Linked DNA regions of Cricetulus griseus. The protein of the gene in region 6 purifies or fractionates together with the protein of the main gene of each other region. This does not show direct contact. Links are inferred from orthologs where the notes say so. Each region holds a gene or a part of one and is shown on either strand. Other genes may lie near its edges. The genes, in order: Cep76, Cep97, Iqcb1, Ccp110, Pnma2 and Cep290.

What was found.
Region 1: the proteins of Cep290 (region 6) and Cep76 purify together in Homo sapiens (co-immunoprecipitation; 5 studies listed by BioGRID and IntAct, with this or other methods). This does not show direct contact. The link is inferred for Cricetulus griseus from reciprocal best matches to the Homo sapiens genes CEP290 and CEP76.
Region 2: the proteins of Cep290 (region 6) and Cep97 purify together in Homo sapiens (co-immunoprecipitation; 4 studies listed by BioGRID and IntAct, with this or other methods). This does not show direct contact. The link is inferred for Cricetulus griseus from reciprocal best matches to the Homo sapiens genes CEP290 and CEP97.
Region 3: the proteins of Cep290 (region 6) and Iqcb1 purify together in Homo sapiens (co-immunoprecipitation; 8 studies listed by BioGRID and IntAct, counting the BioPlex papers as one, with this or other methods). This does not show direct contact. The link is inferred for Cricetulus griseus from reciprocal best matches to the Homo sapiens genes CEP290 and IQCB1.
Region 4: the proteins of Cep290 (region 6) and Ccp110 purify together in Homo sapiens (co-immunoprecipitation; 6 studies listed by BioGRID and IntAct, with this or other methods). This does not show direct contact. The link is inferred for Cricetulus griseus from reciprocal best matches to the Homo sapiens genes CEP290 and CCP110.
Region 5: the proteins of Cep290 (region 6) and Pnma2 purify together in Homo sapiens (co-immunoprecipitation; 3 studies listed by BioGRID and IntAct, with this or other methods). This does not show direct contact. The link is inferred for Cricetulus griseus from reciprocal best matches to the Homo sapiens genes CEP290 and PNMA2.

What each region holds. Positions count from the first base shown.
Region 1 is NC_048595.1:171,781,427-171,784,926, forward strand, and holds part of Cep76 (centrosomal protein of 76 kDa), read left to right. Parts: coding exon 1-105; intron 106-1,720; coding exon 1,721-1,909; intron 1,910-3,500. UniProt on the Homo sapiens protein: Centrosomal protein involved in regulation of centriole duplication. Required to limit centriole duplication to once per cell cycle by preventing centriole reduplication.
Region 2 is NC_048597.1:36,122,897-36,127,152, reverse strand, and holds the start of Cep97 (centrosomal protein of 97 kDa), read right to left. Parts: upstream 2,801-4,256; 5' UTR 2,690-2,800; coding exon 2,647-2,689; intron 2,590-2,646; exon of another isoform or gene 1,712-2,589; intron 1-1,711. UniProt on the Homo sapiens protein: Acts as a key negative regulator of ciliogenesis in collaboration with CCP110 by capping the mother centriole thereby preventing cilia formation. Required for recruitment of CCP110 to the centrosome.
Region 3 is NC_048597.1:53,142,220-53,145,719, forward strand, and holds part of Iqcb1 (IQ calmodulin-binding motif-containing protein 1), read right to left. Parts: intron 1,214-3,500; coding exon 1,114-1,213; intron 1-1,113. UniProt on the Homo sapiens protein: Involved in ciliogenesis. The function in an early step in cilia formation depends on its association with CEP290/NPHP6.
Region 4 is NC_048596.1:81,879,961-81,883,460, forward strand, and holds part of Ccp110 (centriolar coiled-coil protein of 110 kDa), read right to left. Parts: intron 662-3,500; coding exon 560-661; intron 345-559; coding exon 228-344; intron 1-227.
Region 5 is NW_023276807.1:221,896,187-221,899,254, forward strand, and holds Pnma2 (paraneoplastic antigen Ma2), read left to right. Parts: upstream 1-1,473; coding exon 1,474-2,568; downstream 2,569-3,068.
Region 6 is NW_023276806.1:166,062,361-166,066,416, reverse strand, and holds the start of Cep290 (centrosomal protein of 290 kDa), read right to left. Parts: upstream 2,801-4,056; 5' UTR 2,529-2,800; intron 2,313-2,528; exon of another isoform or gene 2,201-2,312; intron 2,005-2,200; 5' UTR 1,977-2,004; coding exon 1,875-1,976; intron 1,772-1,874; coding exon 1,694-1,771; intron 1,426-1,693; exon of another isoform or gene 1,383-1,425; coding exon of another isoform or gene 1,341-1,382; intron 807-1,340; coding exon 737-806; intron 5-736; coding exon 1-4. UniProt on the Homo sapiens protein: Involved in early and late steps in cilia formation. Its association with CCP110 is required for inhibition of primary cilia formation by CCP110.

The DNA.
Region 1 (3,500 bases), on a different chromosome or scaffold from region 6:
GCAGAGAAAGAACGATTATTTCTGGTCTATGCTAAGCAGTGGTGGAGAGAGTATTTGCAAATTCGACCCTCACACAACTCACGGCTGGTAAAGATTTTTGCACAGGTTTGTGTATTATGTTAGAAAAGCTTCAACCCTATATTTACACTGTAGTACTGTAAATACTTTTCATTTGAAAAATATTTTCATTTCACAAATGAATGTTTATTTCTAAAATAGTTATCTTTTATTGGCTAGGTCAATGGCATAATACAATCTTTGTTAGTTTGGAATATACTTTTTTATGATACTTAAAATTGATTAAACATTTGGATACTTTATGGCTTATATGCAAATTGAACCCTGGACATACAGTGTGTCTGTTATTTTTTACAAAAAAAAGGTGGAAAAACAGTATTGTGCCATTGAGATGTCTCAGAGTGAAACATTGGCTGTGTAAACTCACAACCTGAGTTCAATCCCTGGAACTCATCCGAAGGTAGAAGGAGAGAACCAACTCCACAAAGCTGTTCTCTGACCTTCACAGATGTGCTGGGCCACATGGTCACAGACACATCATATAGACACAGTGGTAAAAATAATATAAAATATTTTTACAACATGTGCATTAATTGTGTAAAAACCAGTATTTCTAAACCAGTGACCAGGGATGTTTAACTGCACAATTTCAGCTACAGATGCACCTTGACTCAAGATGCAGTCTTATGTTTATGAACATGTCGTTAGGTTGAAAATGCCATTTTAATACTGCTGACCTGCCCTGTTAAGGCTTAGCAACATAATACACTAAGGGATATCAGTTGTTTACCTTTTCAGTCAGGTGACACAGTAGAGCTGTGGTTGCTCAGCAGCAAGAAATACTACATGCTACATATTACTAGTCTAGAGATCAAAATTTAAAGTATAGTTTCTACTTAGTATATAGGTATAGATTCTGAGGAATAGATCAAATAGTTTATATATGTTCAGTTTCTGTACAGTGTTAGATTATGACATAAGTGTCTCAGATGTATGCATTCGTGTGTGTGTGTATATATCTACATTCCCTAATCATTGGGACAAACTACAGGTGGCTTCATTTCTAGATAGGAAGCTAGGGAATAAGAGTCCTAATTTAGGACTCTTCCTATCTAGAAATAAAGCCAAAGCTACACAAAGAAACCCTGTCTCAAAAAACAAAACAAACAAAAAATTTCTTTTGTCTAGATATAAAGTTCTGTGTGGTAATATGGAAGATTACTTTGGTTTAGATTTAGATGCTCTGCCCTTCCCTTGTCTATCTGCTAACCCTTTTTCAGAGCAGCTCTTAACTCCCACAAGCTTTGGAGTCAGACAGCTTAGACTTTAAAAATCCTGGCTCTAGTGTATGCCTTTGATCCCAGTACTCAGGAGACAGAGGCAGGTGATCTATGAGTTTGACGTCAGCCTGGTCTACAGAGTGATTCCAGAACAGCCAGGGCTATACTGATAAACCGTGTCTTGAGAAACAAAAGAAAACAAAATCTGTCTCCATTATATAACTGCTATAGTTTATTTCATTTATGAAATGAGAATAAAATAGGCCTTATGAGAACTTAAAAGATGTTAGTCAGCCCTTAGTAGCCTAGTGCTAGATGCACACTCAATAAATGTCGTCCAGAATTATCTACAGAATAATAGATGTGACACTTGGGATGATTAGCTTGTTGTTGCAAATAATGTTTTCCCCTTCTTCCTCCAGGATGAGAACGGGATAAATAGACCAGTCTGTTCCTATGTTAAACCTCTTCGAGCTGGACGGCTTCTGGATACTCCGAGGCAAGCAGCACGATTTGTTAACGTCCTGGGTTACGAACGAGCCCCTGTTATTGGAGGAGGTGGCAAACAGGAGCAGTGGTGCACTCTGCTGGCTTTTCTCTGTAGAAACAAGGTATCAAATAGACATAACTAATAGCAGTATTCATTATCATAAGTTTTTTTAATTTATAGCATACTTATAAGAGAATTTCCTTGAAAATGTATGTATTATCAATCTGAACAAGACAAATCTTACTATTATCTGTAACATTACATATCAGCACTTAACACTTACCATCTTTATTTTTGTAATTTCTTATCTAATAGAATGTTATTCTGATAGAAACAAACTCATAGAGCTGAATATGTTGTCTCATGTAACCACAACACTTGGGAGGTTGGGGCAAAAGATCATGGATTTCAAGGCTAGTCTGGATACAGAAAGCTCCAGGCCAGTCTGTGCTGTATAGCAAGATCTTGTCTCAAAAACAGAACATCTGGATGTGGTAGTGCACAAAGGCAGGTGGTTCTCTGTGACTGTGAGACCGGTATAGCGAACATAGCAAGCTCCAGGTCAAGCCAAGGCTACATAGTGTGACTGTATCTCAAAACAAACAAACAAAAAACCCACCAAAAATCTTAGGTGGATTGTGGTGTGCAGGTCTTTAATCCCAGCACTTGGGAGGCAGAATCAGGCAGATCTCTTGTGAGTTCTTGGTCAGCTTGGACTACAGAATGAGTTCCAAAACAGCCAGGGCTACACAGAGAAACCCTATCTCAAAAAAAAAAAAAAAAAAAAAAAAAAAAAAACCAAAACAACAACAAACAAAAGAACAAAAATTTATAAACAGAATAATTATGAGAATAATTATTGGATTTCATGATAATCATTTTTCTTTAGTTTTAAACAGAATTTAATAACTTCTATAAGTTTGATATTAAACTTTATGAGAAAATTGTATTTTATTTTATGTACATTGGTGTTTTGAGTACATGTTTTTCTGTTCATGACATGTATGCAGTACTTACAGATGCCAGAAGAGGGTACCAAATCCCCTGGAAGTGAAGTTGGGATTGTGAGCCACCTTGTTGGTGCTGGGAAACCCAGGTCCTCTGGAATGGCAGCCAATGCTCTTAACTGCTGCACTATCTCTCCAGCTCCTGATATTAAACTTTTAATGATTTCAATAATTTGACTTATATAGGATGATCCTAATCTTCTAAACTCTAAAAATGTTGCTAGTATAGTGAGCAAGTAAGACTGTTTTTAACATTTATTGTCAGTGAAACTGGAAAAGACAAGTTTCTTTAATCTGCTGCTGTTTTGTAGTAATTGTGTTCATGGTTATGTAAATAGAGTATATAGTCACAAAGGACAGTTCATGTAACAGCAGAAACATTTGAATGACAGGTTGATTTATCAATTGGAAAGGTTAGTTTTTTGTTTTTGTTTTTTATTTTGTGATGTTTTTGAGACAGGGTTTCTCTGTCTAGTCTTGGCTGGCCTGGAACTTACTCTGTAGACCAGGCTGGCCTCAAACTCACAAGAGATCCACCTGCTTCTGTCCCTGAGTACTGGCATTAAAGGCATTCACCTTACTGCCAAACACCCAAAACAAACTCAGCCAACGAATGCTTTCTACACACCTTATTTCTAAAGGTTTCCAAATTTAGTATGTATCCAAAAGAAAAAAAAAATTAAATTGCAACTCATAAAAAACTTC
Region 2 (4,256 bases), on a different chromosome or scaffold from region 6:
TAGTGCTTTCATAGCAAGTACTATAACCCACTGAGCCATCTCTGTGGCCCTCACTTTGAGGCAGGGTCTCTTGCTGGCCTGGAACTCATCAAATAGGGTAGGCTGGTTGGCCAGCAAGCCCCAAGGATCTGCCTGTATCCATCTTTTTCTCAGCACGGACTAAGATTACAAGCTCTTGCTGCCAAAAGTTCCCTTGGGTTTGGAGGATTGAACCTGGGTCCACACACTCGCACAGCAAGGACTACACCAACTAAACTATCTCCCCAGTCACTTCTGAATATTTTGAAGATCAAAGTATAGTTAACTAAACTATAGAATAAAATGATTCTCTGATTTCTCAAGGTTGGTGTGAAGCCAAACAATTCACACACAGCCTCAGACCTGGCAGGCAATGCTCAATAAAGCACAGCAGCATGAATTCCAACTATAGCTGTGGTTAACCACTATGGACAAGTTTCCTTCTCTTTTTCTCCTTCATTTTTTCAGTTGGAAAGCTCCCCAAATTAAGGTGTTGCCAAGTTTGGTAACTGAGACCCTTTCTCCTAGAGGCTGGCTACCTCCTCACTGTGTCCTCCAATGTCTTTCCTCTATAGGTGCAAATCGCTGAGTTAACTTTCCTACTCTATGAATTGTGGATGACAATTAACCAGCCATAGTGGTGCATGCCTTTAATTCAGCACTTGGGAAGCAGAGAAACCTGGTCTATATAGTGAGTTCCAGGACAGCCAGAGAGATCCTGTCTTGAAAAAAAAAAAAAAGAAAAAAGAAAAAAGTCATACAGTGGTGGCGCAGGGCTTTAATCTCAGCACTCCAAGAGGCAGAATCATCTCTGTGAGTTCGAAGCTAGTCTAGTCTACAGATCCAGTTCCAGGATAGTCAGGGACTACACAAAGAAATCGTCTCAAACATAAAAGGGGACAGGGGATGAGGCTGAGCCACTTGTGGTAATACACATCTTTAATTTTAGCACTGGGGAGGCAAAGGCAGGAGGATTTCTGTGAGTTTTAGGCCAGTCACAACTACATAATGAGATCCTGTCTTGAGGGAAAAAAATGTGAGAATACAATATAAATATTTTCTACATGAAAACTTGAGATAATATAAGAAAAGTGCTCAAAATATCATCTGGCTTTTAAAAAGTGGCTCTGTGATGAGCACAGGGGTCCAGACCAGGCTTGTGAAACCCACAGAAACAGCTGACCTGAACATCAGGGAGCTCTTGGTCCCCAGTCTGATAGCTGGGATAGTGGGTTTCAGTGAGGAGACCTCAGAAATCTACGGGACCTCCTGTAGTAGATCAGTACTTATCCCTAGCATAAGAATGGACTTTGGGAGCCCATTCCACATAGAGGGATACTCCCTGAGCCAAGACACACGGGGATGGGCCTAGGGCCCTAACCCAAAGGATATGATAGACTCTGGTGACACCCTATGGAAGGCCTCACCCTCCCTGGGGAGCAGAAAGGATATGTGATAGGTAGGGTTTCAGTTGGGGGAGGGGTGGTAGGGGAGGAGGGGAGGGAGAGGGAACTGGGATTGACATGTAAAACAATCTTGTTTCTAATTCAAATTTTTAAAAATGCTGTAAAAAAAAATTGCTCTGTAAATACTAGAGGCTGCTCTCGTCTGTTGTCTTGGAGGGCTAGAGAGTTTTAGGAAAGGCAGCGACCATAGTGGGCGGGGCCAGAGTAACTGCCAATTTCAAATTTACCATCAGACTAGGATACCCTGGGAAATAAATTTTTCGGAACTCTCTTCTAGAAGGTTTCAAAGTTTTTTTCAGTTTTCTTAGCACGGGAGATGTCGTGAGCCGCTTCTTGAAAGATGAAAACTATGCTGTCGCAGAAAAGCGCACCCAGCGTTTGCACACAGTTCCGAAAGGTCGACACATCTTTTAGCCGAACTCCTCCCCTCAAAAATTCAGGGTCCCCAGGTTATGAGCCCCGACTCTATCCCTGTCTGCCCCAATCCAGCCAGCGGCTACCACGCCTCAGAGTGTAACCAAAACAAAAGCTCAGGTCCGGCGCCCCACGGAGGCATCTTCCAGCCACAGGCGCACCCCTCGCCTGCGCTCTGCTAAACAAAGACCAAACTCGACCCCGGGACCCGGCCTGCAGAATGACGGGGGAGCAACGGGTGTCCCGGTCACCCCCAGATTCTACCACGGGTACTGGCCACTTCCAAGGAAGAGTTCAGGCAGACTGTGATGCGGTGGTATCAGATAAGATGCTTCCTGAACGTTCTCGGAACCGATGGGGGAGGGGACAGAGGAAAGAAAGAGACTCTGCCAATTTCCCGTGGGCACTCGGAACTCAAAGTAAACGTCCCAGAAAGGTCGCCGCAGTCCGGAGCCCACTGCCCAGTCAGACTAGGGAGAGCGCGGGACGGGGGCGCCGGGCACCGCGAAGGCTCCTGGGGGCTGAAGTCCCTCATCCAGCCGCCTTCACCGCATGCTGCCAAACCGGACCTGAGAGCGGGACTACAACTCCCAGTAGGTAATGCGCCTCCGCGCTGCCTACAGCCCCGTATCAAAAGAACTGGTCCAAAACTGCACCTCGAAACCCAGGCTTCCTCTTTACACTAAGCAACTATTTAATATGATTTAGTGAAGTAAACTTTGGAGTTCAGGGATGGGAATCGTCCTACCTTCTCCCGGAGCCAGAGCCCCGTCGGCTCGCGCTACCGCCATAGTTGCTGCTTGCTAATGACACCAGCAACCGTCCTCAGCCGTTCTGTAGACTATGTAGTCAGAGGTGGGAAACTGCAAACTACAACTCCCAGGATGCACAGCACTCAGTCGGCCCAATCGGCTGCCTGATGGGAATCACAGGCTAGAAAGTGAGTGTAGTTTAGAAAAAAAAAAAAAAGAGCTTAGGAGACCTTGATAGGTGAGCAAGCTGCATTGTTAGATGAATCTTTTCACTCCAGGGCCAGGTGTTTGAGAAATCTGACACTTTTACCACCTGGCACATTATAAGGATGTTATTTAAAGTAAACAATTTGAGAGCTCTTTGCTAGAAGTCTCTATGACAGCTACCCATTTTGGCAATTCTGAGTTAAGTTTAAAAGATTTGAGATTCGCTATAGGAATGACTAAATATTTTGAGACAGTCAAAATGGACACATTGTATTTGAAATTTCACCTAACTAAATGGTTTTAAAGCTTCAGAAACAGTTGTTACACATTCAACAGAGCTTTTGACTAAGGACTATATTTGATACGTAAGTGCACAGAACTTTTTCTTGAGTGTTCAAAAGTAGTCTAAAATAGCTTCCAAAGTTAAGAATACTTACTTTGCCCAGTTAGAAGGGCACAAGCTTATCCTGTTTTGATTTAACTATGAACTCAGTATGATAGGTAGTGGAAATTACAATATTTGGGAAAGTTAAGCTAGGATTTAAAAGGTAGCTCCGTAGCTCAAAGGGAGCTCTCCCTTTTTTCACCAGCTTGTCTACACACTGACTGCCAGGCTTGCCAAAAGGGCACTGTACAAAGTCTGGGCATTTCTGTTGAGGAAAATCCAGTAACTCAGGCTTCCAGCACTTCTGGTTCATGATTCTAAAAGCATTTTCTCTTCCCTGTATTCCTTTTTCGTTGACATCATTGCCCTTAAAGAACTTTTCTGTTTCCCATTGGTTCAGTCTAAAGATAATTTAATTCTGAAGAAAGAATAAGGATTCCCCTTCTTTTTAACCAAGAGACCCTTTTCTTGGAAAACAGTCTTATTACTTTACATGTATAAATACAAAGCAAGCCAGGCATGGTAGCCCAAACCTTTCATCCCAGCACTGGCAGGCGAGGGGGAGGGCGACAGGGGCAGGCAAATCTGTGAGTTGAAGGTCAGCTTGATCTACTTGGTGAGTTTCAGGGCAGCCAGAGCTACATGACAGAGAAACTCTAGCTCAAAAATGAATTGGCATCTCAGGCAGCTGTGAGCTACCTACCATGTGGGTGCTGGGAACCCAAACCCAATCCTCTTCAAGAGCAAGTAATCTTAATCACCAAGTCATCTCTCTATCCCTACAGATTTTCTTGTTTTTTAAGTAATTTATTTTTTTATGTGCATTGTTGTTTTGCCTACAGTTTTGTCTGATCTTGGAGTTACAGACAGTTGTGAGCTGCCATGTGGGTGCTGAGAGTTGAACTCGGGTCCTCTGGAAGAACAGTCAATGCTCTTAACTGCTGAGCCATCTCTCCAGCCCCAGATTTTCTTTTAATCTCTAGCAAAATCATGTGGCAGCTCTGACAGGACTTC
Region 3 (3,500 bases), on a different chromosome or scaffold from region 6:
ATCTACTGTCTCTTGTCTATTTCTTCCCTCAATCAACACTCCCCTTCTCAGAAATTACAGATTCGTCAGCTGGACCCAGTAATTAGGGGTCGAATATCAGCTCTCCTGCATATCAGATATCTGCATTACAATTCATAACAGTAGCAAAATTACAGTTATGAAGGAGCAATAAAATAATTGTATGGTAAGGGGGTCACCACAACATGTGGAACTATATTAAAGGCTTGCAGCATTAGGAAAGTTGAGAACCACTGGATTAGAGTTTTGTTCTCATCTTCTCTCCATTAGTAACTAGAGTAATAAAACTGAAATGTAATCAGACCATATCCATCTACTTAAAATAAAAAACCAAAACTTCAATGGTCCCCATTTCCTACAGAATATGATTGTTTTCTTAACATAGCATATCAATATTTTATAATGTAAATCCCTTCAAAATTTGCTGGCCATACCTAATACTGAACTTTAAATACCAGCAAGATGAATCATCCCTACTTTTTACCCTCAGCATAATATTTCTTTCTTATCTCTGACTTTTGCATATGTTGTTACTTTTTTCTTTCTCCTGCTTTATCTTCATCCTCCCTATACAATTTTGAAGTTTCATCTCAGATTTTAATTTCTTTAGGATGCATTTTCACTCAGTTTGGGTAAGAAGCACTTTTAATACTTGTAGATAATTTAACACTGCAAATTAATATGTAAAAATATAACTATGTCTGTCTCAATATTCACTCATTGAAGACAAGATTTATATTTGAATAAGCATTGCAAATATAATGAGAAACAGAGTAACTGTGGCACACAGTAGCCAATAAATAAACCCATACTTGAGTGAAATAATGACTAATTCCCCTGTTTAATTTTACTGTGATCCTACTATTTTTCTTTAGGTATCACTCCAATTCTTTCTTCTAAGCCTGAGATTTTCTAGCCCTCTGAGATAACAATTTGATAACAAATTTCTAACCTCTTGCAGTATTTTATATGAACTTTTTCCAAAAGTCAATCAGAAGAGAACTTAAATTTCATGTACACATTGTCTGTAAAAGATTGACAAATTATAATAAAATTAGTAATGTTTCTGATTAAAAATTGTGTAAATTAAGTCACCTGTTGATCTGCAGTATATTCTGTAGCAGAGACATGACTGTAGCTCCTATTTGAACATTGTCAGTTTGCAGTAAGTGTAAGAAATGATCACTCTGCAGTACTAAAAGAACAGAGAGAAAAAGAAATGTTAAAGACTCTATAATAACCTAAATAAGATTGTCTTTTTTAAATCAAATCAAAGCATGCTCATTTGTGCTAAACTTTTGGCATTATAAACCCTAAAATAGTTTTATAGATACAGGCAGTTTTAAATGACCATAAAGTTAAGAGTCATTCCATTTTTATGAAATTAGAGTCATTGGGGCATCTAGAAATACCAAGCTAAAAATTCGTTATTACTTCTTTTAAGTTGAACATAACATCTCCTAAATCTGAATCTTTTTTTCTAGCAATGAGTTTCATTAACTAAATAATAAAACACCGAATATTTTTTTTAGGTTTCTGATTTTCAGGCTCTGATTAGCCAGTTACAAAAATTTTGTGCTCAGTCCATACATGAGTTGCTTAACCTCTAACTTGGCTACATCTGTCCTGGCTATTTTATGTCAACTTGATACAAGCTAGAGTCAGAGAGGGAGCATCAATTGAGAAAATGCCTCCATAAGATCAGGCTGTTAGCAAGACTGTAGGGCATTTTCTTAATCAGTGATTGATATGGGAAGACAGCCTATTGTGGGTGGGGCTAACCCTGGGCTGGTGGTTCTGGCTTCTATTAGAAAGCAGATTTAGCAAGGCATAAGGAGCAAACCAGTATGCAGCACTCTGCACTGGCTCCTGCCTCCAGGTTCCTGCCCTGTTTGAGTCCCTGTCTTGACTTCCTTCAATGATGAACAGTGATGTGGAAGTGTAAGCCTAATAAACACCTTTCCTCCCCAAGTTGCTTTTGCTCATCAGATAAGCACAATAGTAATCCTAACTAAGACAATCTCCCACAATCTCCATTTCATCATCTGTGAAACTAGAAATACATAATTCTCATACTATACTAAGGCATAATGTACCAGAAAAGACTATGTTCCCAAGAAATGTCAGTTTCTGTTGCTTACATCAGCTGAGCACAAGAATAATTAAAAGTGAGATCAGATATGTTTCAAGCTTGCCCTGATAAGACTACCCTGGCTTTTCTAAAAATATCTTTATTCTTTCCTTTCCTATCTCCTGAAAGATCAGATTTGCTCTTTTTCACACCAACTCCTATTCTTCATTTATACTTATAGTCCAATTAGTCACTATATATACTTTTTAACAATTTAGAAAAAAGTATACTTATATATTTTACATTGTTACATTTTAATTTAAATTATTTAATTACTACTCATATTGACATATGCATCCCCCCATTCCCTCGTCCTCCCATCCTCCCATGTTCCCCACTCAACTCCCCCTCACTCCTCCCCAGAGATAGTGAGGCCCTCCACCAAGGACCTTCAAAGTCTATCATATTGTTTGGGGGAGGGCCTAGGCCATCTTTGATGTATCTGGCCTGCAGCAGTATCCCTCCATAGGAAATGGGCTCCCAATAACTACAACAAGTGTATCTTCTATTTGTGTGCCATATTTTACTAATAACTCTAGAAGTATCCAGGAATTTACTAAAATTATACAGCATCTAGTTCATAAACTTTCCTTTTCCTCCACTGAAAACTATAAAGGAGTTACTGCCTCTTATTTTTATACTGTTTGCCTTGTAATTCCTTAGTTTCAAAGTAGATGAGTACTTGGTACAGTAATTCCTACTCCATTACCACATTCACAAAAGGGCCTATAATTTATTTAAATTTTTGCAATAAAAGTTTCAAACATACTTAAAAGCAGACAGGATAATGTAATAAATCTTCATGAGTTAATTAATTTTAAAAATCAATTCATGGCTAAACTTGTTTTACCTATACCATCTACTTCCATTTTAGTTTGAAACAAATCTAAGACACCAGATTATTTTATTCATAAACATTTCAAATACACATAAATATATACAGATGCATATATATAGCCTAAAAGAACTAATGAACAAAAATGCATAATCATTATATCATTTAATGAAAATTACCTCTTAATTTCATCAAGAAACCAGACAACCATTCCAACCACTTAAGTGTTTTATGAATTTTTAAATCTCTTTCAGTCAAGAGTCAAATAAGCCGGGCATTGATGGCGCATGCCTTTAATCCCAGCACTCAGGAGGCAGAGGCAGGTGGATCTCTGTGAGTTTGAGGCCAGCCTGGTCTCCAGAGTGAGTGCCAGGATAAGCTCCAAAGCTACACAGAGAAACCCTGTCTCGAAAAAACCAAGAAAAAAAAAAAAAAAGAGTCAAATAAGATCCATGGAACACGGTTGTGTTTCAAATTAAAAAAAAAAAACACTAATTATTTTTCCATTTTATTTTC
Region 4 (3,500 bases), on a different chromosome or scaffold from region 6:
TGAGCTACCAGAACAAAATGGTCAAGTGGTCAAGGCTTAGCCCTCAAATCCAATCCCACTGCAGTAAAGGGTTCTTTACTATAGTTCCTATGGGGCTCACCACAGAGCTTGGTGGTGCTAGGAATCCTGGGGATTATCTGGCTTCAGAAATACTGGGAATGACACAGAGCCTCCCTCCCCAGAGCTCATAAAAGCCCCTTCATCAGAAAGCCACATGGCATACATACCATCTGCCGGAGCAGTTTCTCTTTACGGGCCTCTCGATCATGATGGAGGATTGACATTCTCTCAGCTGCATCCATTACGAAGAAGATGTCATGAATACCATACAAGGCAGCTCTCAACTAAGAAGAAAATCATGTCTGTATTTAAAAGGTGAGACTACAATTTAGTAGTACATGCATACTGTGTGCACATCTTACATTTAGAATAAGAGAGAACAGGAGTTTTCACTAAAACGCATTTTCCCTGGTTAAATGAAGAAGTACATTTCCAATCCTGAATCTCCAGTTAGGAGCTGACCAATGTCCTGGGAACCCTTCAGGACAGAAGCATCTACCTGAGCTAACACTCGTTCCTGAAGGGAAGCATCTTGGGCTGAGACAACACCTCTCTTCAGCGGGGCTTCTGACTGAAAGCTTCGTATGAATTCCATAGTGTCCTGAAAGAAAGAGACGCTCCTTCAAAAGCAGTTTTCTAGGAAGATTTATAATTGCTGTAGTTTCCTTTTATTCTCTTTTGCCATCAGAAATTACTTAGAGCACAAAACAATTACTGATGACACAGCAAGCAGCCCCTATACTCCACCCTGTCTCCCTACCTCCTCCTGTGGTGGTTTTTAAGGCTTCTCCTGCCCAGAATGCTGAGACTGCAAACATGAAGCTATGCTGTAGGCAGCCTTCTGCATCCTCTCCATAAGGGAAGACCACCTGACTTAGTCAGATGGTCTAAACCATCTTAGCAGTCACTTGAACACCCATCATTAATTTACATGTGGTATCCAGGCACCCTAACAGCCTATCTGTGAGAGCATTTGTTTGTTACAATGAATGTCAGATTTGAAGAATCTATAAATTCTGATGCTGATGAAGAGGAAGGCAGTGGCAATGACCTTGACCATATTGCTGAATTTGATTTGTACATAGTGTTAAATCAGGCCTGGAGGCAATACTCATTGCAATATGAGATGCTGCAAAAGAAGATAATCAATGAGGAGGAATGTGAAGAGGAAGCACACGAACATGGATGGGGCCAGCCCTACAGCTATAACCCATGGGTGACTTCCCATTTAGCAAAGCCAAGCAGAGGCGTGCTATCTTGGCTGTGAGCAGCACAGCTGGGACTAGACAGCAGATGTGCTGTGAGGTTCTGGGGTGGGATGGGGCAGATAAACAATTGCTGGGCAGTTTGTGCATGCCAGTGACGAGTGAAATGACCTGTGCTGCTTTAAGACTGCTCATGCTTTAAGACACACATCTGTGATCCAACACTTGAGAGGTTGAAGCAGGAGGACTGCCATGAGTTTGAGGCCAGCCTGGGCTAGAGTGAGAGTCTGTCTCTAAAAATAAATAAGCACTTTGTAGAAGAGAATGAAGGCCTCACCCACTCAGGAGTGGAAGATTAAAGTCCTTTTCTAAAACTCGTTCATACCAGCTCACTCCTTCTTGAGAGGCATCAAGTTGTCACCAACAGAAGAAATGATAACCCTTATTCACAAAGATGACTCAACCAGAAGGTATCTGTAGTTTATCACACAAAAAGGTTTTCTGTCTGAAGGTCCCCTATGGGCAGGTCTACCAGCCCTGCCTTTACTGTGTGAGTATTCCGTGTGCCAGAGGCTGGTGTGGTGAACTGCACAGGACCATAAGAGGTGAAGGGACCAGATGGTAATAAGACAGGGAAAAGCTGGGAAATGCCAACTGAGGGCCTAAGACTACCCTCAGTTCTAAAGGCCTGACACCTCAGGGGGGTCCCACCTCTATTATTCTCCACAGGGATGCCACAGGAGTCTTCTACTAATCCAGTGCCCAGATTAGTTAACTCACGCATCTCCATGAGCCTCTTGGCAGATGCATCCACATGCCCTGCCTCTGGTACAGCGCTCAGACTCACTTTGCTCCCCATGTCCAGGTGCAGCCCACCCTGCTGTGGCCTCTTAAAGTGGAGGCTTTCATTTCCCACCTCTCAGACTTGTTTTCTATAATGGAACAAGTGAAACTGGGAGAAAGTTCTCAAAGTAGTTGAAATAATTAAAATTGTTTTACCTTTGCACTAGCTTACCACATAAACCTAAGTCTTCTATATCAATATGCTCTTGTTCTTTCTTTAAAAAGGTTTATTTTGCTGGGCAGTGGTGGTTCATGCCTTTAATCCCAGCACTGGGGAGGCAGAAGCAGGTGGATCTCTAAGAGTTCAAGGTCAGCCTGGTCTACAGAGTGAGGTCCAGGACTGGCTCCAAAGCTACAGAGAAACCCTGTCCTAAAAATTAAAAACAAAAAAAGATTTATTTTTATATGCATGAGTGTTTTGCCTTCACGTGCACATGTGTGTAATATGCATGATGTCCAGAAGAGGGCATCAGAACTTCCCGGAAACAGGAGTTAAAGGCTGTTGTGAACAACCAGGTGTACGCTGGGAACTTAATCCCGGTCTTCTGAAGGAACAGCCAGTGCTCCTAACTGATGAACCATCTCTCCAGTCTCATTAAAAAAAAAAAAAAAAAAAAAGTAGTGCTTGGCAGTGGTGCTGCATGCTTTTAATCTCAGCACTCAGGAAGCAGAGGCAGGGGAATGTCTGAGTTCAAGGCCAGCATGGTCTACAAAGTGAATTCCAGGACAGCCAGCGCTACATAAAGAAAGCCTGTCTCAAAAAGCATAACAAAAAGTGGTTTGGGGTATTTTTGTTTTGTTTTTTAATGTGTACGACAGAGCATGTGCATAGGTTAGGGAACAGTCTTGGTGGCAGATACCTTTGCCCACTGAGCCATCTTAAATATATTAATTATACATATTTGGGGTTTCAATATAACACTTTCATACATGTCCAAACATTTCTCTTATCACACCCCTGTCACCCTCTGGTGGCCCATCTCCTCCTACCAATCCCCTCTCCCTTTCCTCATTAGCACCTCTCCTACTTTCATGCCTTGTTGTTTTGGTGGCCCAAGGAGTTCATTAGGGCTGCTTAAAAGAGCATGGGCACCCTACCAGTGGCTGCACCAGGAGAAGAATGCCTCTCCCTCTCCACCAACCATTAATTGTACAAATCTTCAAGGAGGAGCAGAGCCCCACAAGCCCCTCCCATCTTCATGGCAGGGTATTGGTGGAACTAAACTTATGTACATTTTATGCAAATAATCACAATAGCAAATTCAGGAATGCAGAAGGGACTGTGAGATGGCTCAGAGGATACAAGTCCTATACAAGGATAAGATCTGAGTTCAAAGCTCCTGCTTCCATGAAAAAAGCCAGGTATAATCATGTGTCCTGCAACTCCAGTGC
Region 5 (3,068 bases), on a different chromosome or scaffold from region 6:
GGTTGATAACTTAGCCGTGTAACACTCAAAGACAGCAAAGGAGGACTGATTCCTAACTTCACGGTGTGCTTGTTTTTCTGAGATTCAATTTTTCTTCATTATACCCATTAAAAATTATTTTGAAAGGTCTGAGTGATTCTACTTAGGTTTTTTTTATATATATCTTTTTCTTCTTTTGAGACGAGATTTCTTGGGGGTAGCCCAGATTGAGTTCAAACTTGGCACCCTCCTGCCTTATCTTCACAACAGTTGAGAGTGGCACCACACACAGTGCAGTTGTATTTGTTTTTAAGTATGATTCTCATGTAGCCCAGGCTGACCTCAAAGTCCCTATGAGGTCAAGAATGATCTTAAATTCCTGATCCTCCTGCCTCCACCTCCCAAGTGCTGGGAATACAGGCATGTACCACCATGCCCAGTTTATGTGGTGCTGGAAATTGAACTCCAGGCTTTGTTCACGTATGGTAGGCAAGCACTCTACAGACTGAGGAGTATACCCAGAACTAGGAGGTGTTTTTATTCAAAGTGCAGCAACTATCTTATTTAGGATGTTCTACTAAATTGTGCAGGACTGTCACTTTTTTCCCATCCTTTACTGAACCTTTATATTTTTAATAAGTGCATTCATCTTTATTACTAGATTTTAGGCCTAAAAACACATTGTTCATGTTTGTGTGTAACAGGACAGCTTGATTTGGATGAAGTTCAGACACACCCATACTATTGTACAGAGGTGGGAGACATCTTCCAGAGCTGGAAGCTGAATACATGCTCCTTGATTCTTGAGGAACATTCCGGAACACATAAACAGGTATTTAACTATGTCTCCTAATTTCATCTTTCGAATGGTGAAGGTCTTGAATCCCACCCACTGATGGGGCTTTGGGGTGGAGAGAAGGGGTTTAAGCTGCTCCCCTAGCCCTGAGTACAGTGAGCAAAGAAGGGGGTCCAACAGAGTGGGGTGGACAAAGGTGCAGTGGGAGTCATAGCCCTTGGTCCACCCCTAGCTCCATTCCAAACCACAGTGTGGGTGTGTCCTGGGAAGTAGAGGTCTGCGTAGTAAAAACAAACCTCTGTTTCCGTAGGCGTCCTCACCATCTCGCTGTGTGACGACTTTCCAGAGTTTTGGGTGCTAGAGTGAAAACCACCTCCTCATTGACTGTAGAGACAAAGTGACAGAAACCGGGAGAGGCTGGGTCGAGCAGTCATTCCAGGTGCTTCACAGTGACAAGAGTCAGCACCACACAGCTGCCTGAGGCTCTCAGAAACGGCAGCAAACCCACTGCAGAGCCACGGGGCTGGTAACTGCAGCCTACCCTGTCCACCCAGCAACCTTGCCGTGGGTCCGAAGACACACAGGAAGTGCCTGGTTCTTGACACTGAGTAAAAGGACAGAGCGTTGGTCCGCAAGGCTCTGAGCTACTTGGGAAGTGAGCCAGGCAGGCACTGTGTGCAGAAGCATACCCTAGGGCGATGGCAGTGGCACTGTTGGAGGAGTGGTGCAAGATAATGAGTGTGAGCGATCAGAAGTCACTGATGGTGACTGGCATACCAGCCGACTGTGGTGAGCCTGAGATCCAGGCAGTCCTTCAGGAGGCGCTCAAGTGTGTGGGCAACTACCGCCTGCTAGGCAAGATATTCCAGAAGCAAGACAACACGAATGCTGTCTTACTAGAACTCGTGGAGGACACAGATATGTCTGTGGTCCCCAGTGAGGTGCAGGGGAAAGGAGGTGTCTGGAAAGTGATCTTTAAGACCCCTAACCAGGACAGTGAGTTTCTCCAGAGATTGAACCTTTTTCTAGAAAAAGAAGGCCAGACCATTGCAGGGATGTTCCGAGCCCTGAAGCAGGAGGGAGTGTCTCCAGCTACCCCAACCTGCACATCCCCTGAGTTACTGGCCCACTTGGTGGGGCAGGCAATGGCTCAAGCTCCAAGGCCTCTGCAGCCTGTGAGGTACTGTAAGTTGCGAGTATTCTCTGGGAACACAGTACCTGCCCCGGAGGAGGAGTCCTTCGAGATCTGGTTGGAACAGGCTACTGAGATAGCCAAAGAGTGGCCCATCCCAGAGGCAGAAAAGAAAAAGTGGATGATGGAGAGCCTCCGCGGCCCTGCCCTGGACCTCATGCACATCGTACAGGGAGACAACCCATCCATCAGTGTGGAAGAGTGTCTGGAAGCCTTTAAGCAGGTGTTTGGGAGCCTGGAGAGCCGTAGGAGCTCGCAGGTAAGATACCTAAAGACCTATCAGCAAGAAGGGGAGAAAATCTCAGCCTACGTGCTCCGGCTGGAAACTCTGCTCCGAAGAGCCGTGGAAAAACGGGCTATTCCCCGAAACATTGCTGACCAGGTACGCCTGGAGCAGGTCATGGCCGGGGCCAACCTCACCAATGTTCTATGGTGCCGGTTACGGGAGCTGAAGGATCAGGGCCCACTACCCACCTTTTTGGAGCTGATGAAGGTGATACGGGAGGAAGAAGAAGAAGAGGCCTACTTTGAACATGAGAGCAGGGAGGAGCCAGGGGAACGAGAGGGCTATGGCCGCTGGGACAATTCGAGGAACAACTGAGAGACACCCCTACTCCTGTCACCCCCTGGTGAGCATAGGGACAGTGCTTGATGAGGCTAATCCTATTACAGTGGAATTTTTCTCTAATACACAGGATTGAAGTCAAGCATTAGAACCAGATATTTTCTTTTTTCTTTTGTTTTGACAGGGTTTCAACTTATAGCCCAGGCTGGCCTTGACTTGCACTTTTCCTGCCTCAGGACTCCCAAGTTGAGTTCTGGGATTAGAGGAGTATACCATCACTAGCACCCCATCTCAACTTTTCTTTCTGAGAAAAAAAAAAATGCCTAGACTCTGAGTAGAGTGGTTTGGTGGACTCTTAAGCAGAGTGTAACTGAATACAAGACTAAAGGAACCCTAACATTCCAAACTAACCAAAACGTAAGAGTTAATCCAGTTGGGTAGGTCCATCACCTGGCTAATGGACTGCCCACCAGGAAGGCAGATTCATCTAACTCCATGCTAAAGACAGGGGAGGAATAATTATCCCCTTAATGAGA
Region 6 (4,056 bases):
TTTTCTATTAAAAAAATACAAATGTTTCAATTGTTAAATTTCCTGTAATCAGATTTTAAGTGGATGTCAATAAAATAGTACAACATATCAAGTCCAGGGAACAGGCATTCTAGAAATATCTTGACCTGAGTGAGTGAAGTCTTGAGTCTGGGCAAAGCCATGTCAGGAACTCCCAAGCCTCAGAACTATGGCAGATGGCAGAGCCTTCCCATGTCTGAATGTGGATGTTGACAGTGTGTGCAGAAAATGTCAACCACAGCTTTCATCTCCCCTGATGCTCATGGCAGAATCTACTCCTTTCTTCCCCCTGATGCTCAGGCTTCCCTACAGTCTGCTCCTACTGAGATTAGCTCGATCTGCCTCCTTGTTCAACTGTGTACAGAAACCCCACCTCCTAACTTATCTGTAGGTGTCACCTGACTTCATGTTCAGCTATAGGCAACAACCCCGCCTCTCTTCAAGTGTACATAATAACAACACTGAGCTTCTGGGGTGCTGCAGATTCTCCATCAGAGAGCCTAGTCCACCCGAACCCAACTTTTCTTTGTGTCTTTGTGCTGTCTTCACCCTCTTGCCACATTAGTCGGGTCAGTCCCTGAAACGGTGCAAGGACGAAGCATCTTTCAACATGAATTGAGTATGTATTTCATAGAATATGATAAATTAATTTTGTACTGACTAATAAATAATAGAATCACAACAGTTTTTTTTTTTTTTTTTTTTACAAGACATGTACCAAATTTTGCTTGTTCTTCTCCAGCCTTTTCAACTTCTTCCAAAGCTAGCTCTACTTCTTGGGCTTTCATCTAAATATGAAAATGAGAGAGGAAATCTGTATTACTTACACTGTAATATAAACAGTGAAAATGCAAATTTTGTTTCATTTGCTATATCAGTCTTTAGTGTGTACAACAGCTAGCACAGAGACACTCAGTGAATATTTGCAGAATAAATACTTAACCTATAAATTCTGGAATAGCAATTTGAATCATCTCTGATTTTTCCTTTAGGTTTTATAACCACTATTTTAAATGTTTTTCATTATTTTTTACCTATTTCAATTGTTATTATTCTGGTACATAATTTTATTTGTTAAGTCCTTGTTACAACTGGAGCCTCTCAGCTCCAATCCCCTTCAATCTGTACACATCTGTAACACATCTAATTTTGCCTTCTTAAGCACATTTCTGTATCTGTCAATTATGATTCAAAACCTTTATTTGATCCTAAACTGCTAATAACAAAAAATACAGCCTCAAACCCTCAGATAGTATATCCCAAATTACCAACCCAATATCTGTTTGTCCACAGCCTGCAACAGATTTGCTGCATGCACTTACCCTAATGTAAAGAGCAAGTACATATCCTTTCTCATTATTCATTGGTGATGAATTTAGAATCTTCTTTCCATTTCACCATTACCTTCTAGAGGAGACATTGTGCATTTTTACTTGAACCTCTGTTTATATTTGTTACTTTTAAAAAAGCACTCATTTTCCCCTATACACTCTCCAAGAATTTTTAGAATAGTAACTATATTTGCTACACATATTACAACCCACAGCCTTTAAATCTACACTTAACTCATTTTTGAGGGGTGACACAGGCATTCCAAATATTTCCATAAAGATTAGCTTACATAGAAATACATTCTTACATTTCCTATACTGTTAAATATCTCCAGCATACAAACCTTCATCAGTGACTGAGTAATTCTGAATAGATGTACCACGTTTTCTTGATCTTCATCTTTTAGTTCATTTACTTCCACCTAAGGAAACAAAAAATGGATTATTTCATACCCTGTAGTTGTAGGAAGCAATTTCACTTTATCGCATTGTAAGTGTCTATGTACAAATTATTCATTAAAGCACCTTGGATAAGGAAATCAATAAATTATCTGCCAGCTCTTCTTGGCGTGGAAGGTCATCTGGATCAACTTTGATTAATTCTTTCCAGTTTATGCTAGGTGGCATCTTGAATTCTTTCACTGTTTTTCAGCTCCTACAAGGTGACAGGTGGGTTTTAGCATTTCCAAGGAAAATGGCATTGCAGTGTTTACATTATCATTCAAACTCTCTGGGTATTGGCAAAAAGCTATGGCTCCTGAACCGCAAAACAGATGCATGGGCAAACAGCCTTGATGAGAGTCAATCCACCCGGCACAGATTATCCGATAATGTACACGTTAAATTATTACTTGTTTGCTAAAACGAAGTCCTGAGATCCCGAGTCTCCTCTTCCAAGCTCCCTACCATCAACGATGATACCAACTCCCAGGATGTTTGGAAGTTTGAAAACGTCCTCCGATTCTGAGAAGGGGCGAGAGAAATTTAATTTTATTTTTTTAAGTGTACAAATAAAGACTTAACTGGACGAAGTGCGCGAGGAAGCAAGCGGAATCAAAAGGCTGGGAACTGCGGACAGGAGAACAGAAGGGTCGGGTAGGCAGACTGCACACTGTCCCCGAGGATTAGGAACCTGTGAAAGACACTAAGCTGCTGCGGGCTCACCGGGAATCCACCCACCTAAACCGAACCTTGCAACCTGCGGCAGTCGCTCATCTACAGCGACCACCACCGCGGTTTCGGCCGCCGCCGGGGCGTCTCTTCCAAGAGCAGTCCTCGCGCACTCCCGCTCCCGCCAACTCTTCCTCCTGCCCAAGCCAAAGCGGTGGCCGCTGCTAGGCGACACCACTCCCCCGCCCAGCCAAGGCCGGAACTAGGGCCCGGATACTGCGGGCGACTACATTTCACGACGATAAAGGCTTTACGGCTGCACTTCCCCCTTATTCTGGCCTTATTCTGGATGAGGGCAAAGTCATGCGGACGACTCTACATCCCAGAGTGCACTTCGGCAGTGCGGGTGTGCATTCTGGGACTAGAAGTCTTCGTGTGGGGGGGGGAGAGAGAGAGAGAGAAAAAGAGAGCAGCGAGTTCCCGGCGTGCAACGCGGGAAACTGCGGCCGCCGCGGAGAAGCTGGGGAAGGCTTGGGAGGCGGGAGGCGCGGCGGCGGCGGCTGAGGCGCGGCCGCCCTGGGGGCGCTGGCGTGAGGACTATGACAGTGTTTTCCGCGGAGTCCCTCTCCGGTCCACCGTTCCGGAAGCTTCCCTGAACCATCGCCCGGCTGACCCGCCTTCAGGTGAGGTCGGGGTCAGCGGCCGGGAGGAGATCCAGGGAGCACTGGGGCTTTGGGGACGCTCTGGCTTGGGGGGGGCTGCAGGGCCGGCGGGATCCGCCCTCCGCTCAGGTGTGTGCTGGGGGTTCCCAGTGAGTGACTTCCGCGAGAAGGAAGTAGAAACAAAAGTTTCCTGTTTCCCTGGGATCTAACCTGTGCTTCGGGGAAGTGGAGCTGGGCCCCCCCACCCCCAGCTCACGGTCAGGGGTGCGGGGAGCATCGCGGGGGGCGGGGGGGGGACAGGGGAGCAGGCTCTCGGCCCGCCCGCCCCGTGCAGCAGCTTGAGGATTGTAGCCCTTAATTAGGTTGTGAAGTGTGGAGTGAAGGCCGGAGAAAGGGAGCCCTGCAGTTGGGGGGGGGGGGTGGCGGGGGTCCACGTCAAGTTCAGGCATTCTGCTGTCATTTGCTGGGTACCAGTGGGGGGACTCTTAGGCGAAAGCGCTTTCTCGCTTGGGCAACTTTTGCCCACTCCACAGCTGTTGTACACCAACAGGTAACTTAGGAAGGTGTAGGCTATTTAAAACAGTGTGTCTCGTTTACACAGGCGCGCACACAGGCAGTAATTCAAAGAAAAACTGTAGACACTTAAAATTTGCTTTTGAAAAAATTTCTGTACAAAACGTGTGGTTGAGAAAAACAAGAAATAGCTCAGTAAAAAATGGTATTTGGAACAAATATTCAAGACATTAATCAGATTTGTAGGACTGATGACCATGTTTGTTTTTTTCCAAATACTGTTCAATTTCTGGATTATTCTTGATAAGAGGTATAGCAAAATGAGTGCTTACATTGTCCTTGTTCTCCATCTAAGAGATTGGAGAAGCTAAACACTGTTTTCTTTCCACAGCCATTCTAGAAACTGGTATTTGTGAAATAGG